Linked DNA regions of Nothobranchius furzeri. The protein of the gene in region 1 interacts with the protein of each later gene in a biochemical or structural test. Links are inferred from orthologs where the notes say so. Each region holds a gene or a part of one and is shown on either strand. Other genes may lie near its edges.

Region 1 (2,945 bases):
GTGTTTTATTTCAGGGTCCTTCGCAACTGCGTCCTGTCTTGTTTGTAAACAAAAAGTGGATTGTGAAGCTATAAGGGAAGATGTCTTTAATCAGGTACATTTTAAACTGGACCAACAGAACGTTGATCGCTGCTGCTGTTTTTTTACACCTGTAACCATAATGAGAAACTAAAATGTCTTTGGAGGGGTTCGGGTTGGTGAGGACGTTGGTTGATAAATGTCAAGTCATAACGTATACATGTAACTAATTTCACAGTATACTCTCCTAACCCCGGCTTTCCACGGGAGCCGTCAGCAGCACGTCATAGCTGCTGATAGGAACCGCTGTGGTCAACAGAACCTTTTCCACCGGAGCCGTCAGCAGCGCGAGTCGGCCGCGTCTCAGGAGCAGCATGTCGCGGCCCTTACGCGCCGGTTCTATTTTCTACGCGCGACGCCTCTGAAACGGGTCAAGTTCGACATTTTTGGGGAAGGAAAGACAGGAAATGGGACGCGGAAATGGAGAGAAGCTCCCGAGATTCTCAGAATAAAGAACGTACTGCCTTCCAGTTGCTTTACTTTTAAAAAATGTTACTAACTGTGCGTCCCCGTGAGAAGTTATCACCTAGCTAGCGGTCTCCTTTGTTTTTCAGGTCCGTATTGGCGATTATAAAAGGACAGAACATAAACCATGTTATAGTTTTCTCCTGCTTGTTGGTGTGTTTACTGACGAAGTCACTCGTGTGACTTCGTGCTCTGTCGGTGACAGCTGCTCCCCTGCTGCTTCGCGTCTCGTGGGAAGGGCCAAGCAGCAGCTTGCGCGAGCGAGACGTGCTGCTGCAGTAACGTGCTGCTGACGGCTCCCGTGGAAACCCGGGGTTAGCGTTGTTTCCATTGTCGGGTTTGGCTTTTCCAAGCTTTGTTGTTAGAATATTTTGAAATCTTCAGACTGGTTTTATGTGATGTTCAAAGAAACTTTGGATAAATTAACTTTCACAACATCCGCCTAACGAGTCCGTGCGAAAGACTGATGTAAAAAGGGTGTTTGGTGTTGGGACTAATTCAGGGTTCATACTAGAATCTACTTCAGGAAGTGTATCGGTTTAAATAAATGACAGAGCGTGCTTCTGCGACATGTTCCTCTCTAATGCAACGTCGTCCTGCAGGTTGTTCCTCGTTGTCTGAGGTGTCCGGATATTCCTCTGGCAATCATGAAACCTGACATCGTCTTTTTTGGAGAGAACCTACCAGAAATGTTCCACAGAGCCATGAAGCAGGACAAAGATGAGGTGGACCTCTTGATTGTAATTGGCTCTTCGCTCAAAGTCCGACCAGTGGCCCTCATACCGAGTATGATTTCAAGTGAACGTGCTTCTAGATACTTGCCACTCCTCTGTTGTGTTTGAGGTAAACTCCACCAATAACACCATGGCTTTCCATTTCTCTCAGATTCCATTCCTCACGAAGTGCCTCAGGTTCTGATCAACAGGGAGCCGCTGCCTCATCTGAACTTTGACGTGGAGCTACTCGGAGACTGTGACGGTATCATCAATGAGCTCTGTCACCGGTTGAGTGGAGACTTTGAGCAGCTCTGCTTTAACACTTTAAGACTCAACGAGATCACAGAGAAGCCCCCTCGGTTACAAGAACCACGACCAAGTGAGGCCTTGCCTGCTTTCAGTGATGCGGCTCAGCAGCAGAACGAGCCGTCGCGTACGGACTCTGTAAACAAGCCTTCAGAGGAGGCAGAAAGTCTGACTGTTACAGAAACTGCCGATAAGAACATTACACCTTTGGAGCCTTGTTCGAATGTGCAGTGTCCAAGTGAGGACGGTGCGAAGTCTCCGGAGTTACCAAAAGTGGAGATGGGTGATTTTAAAAGCCAAAACTCCAGCTTTGATTATCGTAAACGGTACTGGGTGAGCAGAATCAGCAGGAGTCCAATAAGCAAACGCCTCAACCGTAAGCTAAGCTAAGCTAATTTATACCAGTTACATGTCATTTGTTCAAATGTGTTCCGTCTTTCCTCTGCATGTATTCCTTCACGTGATCACACCACAACTATTTCAGCAGACGTGTCAAAGACAAACGAGCCGTGTTTCATAGATGCTCTGTTGTTTTCCACAGCGGGCCAGTACTTGTTTCAGTCACCTAACCGCTACCTCTTCCACGGCGCCGAAGTCTACTCGGACTCCGAAGAGGAGACGTCGAGCTCCTGCGGTAGCGACAGTGATGAGTCAGAATGCAGTCCTGGTGGGGTGGAGGATGACAGCGACCCAGAGGACGTCAGTGAAGCGGCGGCGGCGGACGGAGAAACACGCATCAAAGACATGTTTCGAAATTCAGCCAATGAGGAAGAGTCAAGTGTGCAGATCGACAGTTCTTCTGAAAAAGCTCACAGTGCCACGAATCAAGCGTAATAAGACTCCATTTTACAAAGCACTAATTCTTTTTTAGAGTGTACATATAAATAGGTTTCATATATATTTTTGAGTCATCTACTTCCTGTTTATCATAAAGTTGAAGTGTGTGTTTGCAGCAAGACTTTTGTCTTTCAGGTTTGCTCTGTTTTCACACTCACTGTGCTTAAACCCACTAGTTACTTTTCTACTTTAGTTCCCTTTGCTGTTGCAGCCATTGTTGCGTACCAGAAATGCAACATTAAACACCCTGAAACACCGGCGTGGCGTCGGCTGTTTTGGACTTGGTCGCTTAGGAATCATTACATTTTAAAATCTGAAGATTGAAGAGGTTAACGAGTCTGAGACAGATTTTATTTTTGCGCATGCAAATTTAGTTCTACTCCTTGAGTGAAAAACTGCAGAAAGATGGTTTTATTTCAGACCAAAGAGCTCAACATCTGCATACTTCTGTTTCTGGAAAAAGCTTTTTTTTTTATTCGTCTTAAGTTTTTAAATGTACTTTGTGATCCTCCTGACATCAGGCAGCTACTTTCCTGGTGAAGC
Region 2 (3,672 bases), on another chromosome or scaffold:
CTCACCTGTTAACTTTCATGTTGTGGAGCAGAAAAAGAGCATACAATCAAAATATTTAAAGCTCAGTTTACTCCACTGATTCACTGTGATGCTCACCTGCAGGGCCGGATTATCACTGCAGCGGCCCCAGGGCACAATGTGTTCTTTAATTAGGAAACACTCATGAGAAACTGTTTTAAATATTTTAAAGGCAGATGGACTTTTCTCATCCTCCACAACATTTATTTAAAAACAAAATCAAAACATCCGAAAGGTCCTATGAGACAGAATGTTTTATACTAGTGGAGATTAAATGTGATTTTTCAGAAAGGCTGCTGGTTAAACCTGTCATCTTTCAATTCATTACAAAAAGCATCATTCCATACTCTTTACAAAGTACAGACAAAGGTTTATTTCTAGAAAGCATGAGTTGTGTGAAATTCCAGGAAGATACATGGTATTAATTTTACATCCCTTTTAATAACAGCTGGATTAAACAATGTGAAACATCTGTCCATGCTTTACAACAATAGCTTTTCATTGAGCTTGTATGAAAAGAGCAGAAGGATCATGGCGACGCAACAAGTCAATCTGAACTGTATGACGCGGTAAACTGAAGTTAATTTAATCTTTTGAGTCAATCATTCAGTTTATTCAAAAGCACAAACAACAAAGTGGATTTTTCCCTGAAAAGATACATTATTTCCAACGTTCCAACCATAAATCTAAACATTTGACTTCCCCAAAATGTGGCCAGATGAAAACAAGCATAAAATAGTTCAACAGACATTTTCTGCAAAGTTGAGTATAAGAAAAAGGTGACAGTTACTCAGTAGGCCTTATATGAACCCTTAACTATAGTCTGTATGTCTTTTACAAAACAGAACGGTTTTCCTGTGTGGTGAAGTGGGAATGACTTCCAGAGTCATCCATATAATCCACGTGACACTGTCCTCCTGCTCTGGCTGCAGCGGCTCTTATGTTCGCTATCATTTCCTCTTCTCAACAGTTCTGCCAAAGTATTCCTTCTGGAACTCCTCGAACTCCTCCTCCGTGAACACAGACTGGGTCTCTTTGGCCTTTTTGACGGGTTTGTCGGTGCAATTCCTTGACTGCCTTCCTAAATTGTGGCTCAAAATCTAAATTAGACAGAAATCAGGTCAAAAATGTAACAAATCTACAAGTCACACTGGCTCAATTAAATTATTTAAGATACTTAGATCACTGTTTAAGAATGACATCTTAAAACTTAAAAGCACTGCGTCCGATGCTAAAAGACGTGCTTACAATATTAGCGATGATAATTAAGAAAGTCAACATGGATGGTATGTCAAAAGTAAACCCTTCTTTACCTTTAATGTATCAGATTCTGTTGCTTTGCTGCTGGTTGTTGTAAAGTACTTCAGGTTGGCACTCATCTGGCTCTGACCCTGCTTCTTTCGGAACTCCTCTGCAAAAAAAATAAATAAATAAATAAATAAATAAATAATTAAATAAATAAATAATAAAAAAGAGACATTATATGTCATGTTCATTAAGCTTAAGCATCTAAAGATGTGGCCAAGGCTTTGAGTTTCTTGATTTTATGCACTTCTTTTAAATTTAGTTAACACAAATAATTTGACACAAGTACTTAACATCTTCAGAAAACAGTTAAGATGTTACACACAAACACAATAGAGCTAGCAGGGGAGAAAATGACACAGCAAAACAAATAAATAAATTAAAAAACACATAGGACTTCCATACTTCCGTGTAAACATGCATAGCTTCTGAGGCTCCTGCTCTTCTCTGGACTTTAAAATCAAGGTGTCCCTGTGCCATTTGTGTGTTTTGATAGTGATTTAGGAGCAGATATGATCCATATCTACACAATTAAAAGGGTTTCCGTACCGACTGCTGATTTGATCCTCTTGTCTTTGACTGTGGCTTTACTCTTTCCAGACCCGTGGCGACCCTGCAGCCTCTTGACCTGCTTGGTGACCCCCTGCCTCTTGGTGCTCACCAGCTCCATCACTGCAGCTGAGCTGGGGGTCTGCTCCTTCTTTTTCTTCTTCCCTTTACCACCATCTGGGAAAATAAAAATGAAAGGAAGAGAATACCCAAGTTTATAAAAATGTTGCACAAATTCAGGTGATTCTAATGTAAACAGCACTTTTGTGACAATAGTAGAGAAGCAATGATTTGCCTAGTCTTTAAAATAACAAGTCTCTTTGGTGCAAATGTTCACGTTTTACTTCTGATTCTTTACACTGAAAGTTTGGTTTGATTGTCCCTAAACTCTCAATATTTGCCATTAGTCTTTTAATTATTCAGCCTTTTTTAAAATAAGTTCTCTGATCATAAGACATGTTTCACTTCTTAGTAGTTAGCAGAAGAAATTCCTAGTTTGATGCGCAAATTATTTTAAATAAATCCCCAAAGTGCAAAAATACATAATCTCCACAATTATTTTGCGGCACATTTTCTCAGGTGAAGTAGCAGTAATGAAGGAAGTAATGAGCAGTTTATTTATTATTTAAATTATTTTTGAACAAACTCATAAAAAGACTCGGCAAAAAGTGAAGCTTTTTTTCTTTTGCTTTCCTCGTGCTTCGTTTTAACCCTAAAAAGCATAACATCACAGACGTCACCGCCTTTGACCGTCATTAAAACAAGCTAACAGGCTAGAACTGACCTTTAATATCTTCGTTCAGCAGCTCCAATCCTCTCCTTACCAATGACAGCGACATACTCTGTAATATCAACAATTTATCCGGTAAAAATCTATATTTAAAGTCCTCAAAACCTCAAGAGGAGCGTGTAAAAAAGGATAACATCCGGTTCGATGTGTGCACCGACTGAAAGACTTCCCCGGAAAACAATTTACAATACACAAAGTTCCCACTTTACAATAATAATAATAATAATAATAATAATAATAATAATAATAATAATAATAATAATAATAATAATAATAATAATAATAATAACTAAACTAACCGTGTGAAAATGGCATTGTAAATAATTTTTGAGTACTTTTTGAGAAAGCTGAAACAAGAAAGAATGGATTATGTGCCGAGTTGATGATGCAAAAGTCCTGGATTTACAGATTTCTGGGACCAGTGTGACGCGCTATAATGACTGACTGAACGTTTGTGTGCTTTTTATGTTTATAGCTTTCTGATTCACAAAAGAACGCAGAAAGATTCCGATTTGAATTAGCCTACTTGGTGCACCTCAGTATTCCTGTGTGGGTTCTACTTGCACATCAGCATACAATTAATAGTTAAACAGGCTTTTACCATCAATGGGACTGTAAAGATGTTAGAAAAGGGATCTCTTCACCTTGCTTTTATTTTATTTGACTTGGCTACACACTTTATATAAACCACCACATTTATCTTTAGATTTTAATATTTAGGTTAATCTTTATATATTGAAATCTGCATTTAATGAAATGTGAAAAATAACACAATTTAGTGTTTTATTGTACTCTCTTATAATTAGCACCCCATAATGTACAGCTCTTTTACCACTTTTTATTATTTTAATACTTTGCTCTAATATTTGATCACTTATTGAGGTTTTAAAAACATCATCCCTTTTTTCTCCTTCTGACGGACAGATAAGGAGCCAGGTCACATCCCCGGCTCCATCAACATCCCCTTCCACTCCCTCCTGTCTGCTTCGGGTCACTTCCTGCCAAAAGAG

Evidence for each region.
Region 2: the proteins of sirt1 (region 1) and rps19bp1 form a complex in vitro, tested with the Homo sapiens proteins (2 studies listed by BioGRID and IntAct). The link is inferred for Nothobranchius furzeri from reciprocal best matches to the Homo sapiens genes SIRT1 and RPS19BP1.

What each region holds. Positions count from the first base shown.
Region 1 is NC_091752.1:5,646,335-5,649,279, reverse strand, and holds the end of sirt1 (NAD-dependent protein deacetylase sirtuin-1), read left to right. Parts: intron 1-14; coding exon 15-94; intron 95-1,145; coding exon 1,146-1,329; intron 1,330-1,428; coding exon 1,429-1,941; intron 1,942-2,106; coding exon 2,107-2,399; 3' UTR 2,400-2,408; downstream 2,409-2,945. UniProt on the Homo sapiens protein: NAD-dependent protein deacetylase that links transcriptional regulation directly to intracellular energetics and participates in the coordination of several separated cellular functions such as cell cycle, response to DNA damage, metabolism, apoptosis and autophagy.
Region 2 is NC_091746.1:76,506,040-76,509,711, reverse strand, and holds rps19bp1 (active regulator of SIRT1), read right to left. Parts: upstream 2,840-3,672; 5' UTR 2,712-2,839; coding exon 2,657-2,711; intron 2,050-2,656; coding exon 1,873-2,049; intron 1,430-1,872; coding exon 1,332-1,429; intron 1,119-1,331; coding exon 969-1,118; 3' UTR 198-968; downstream 1-197. UniProt on the Homo sapiens protein: Part of the small subunit (SSU) processome, first precursor of the small eukaryotic ribosomal subunit.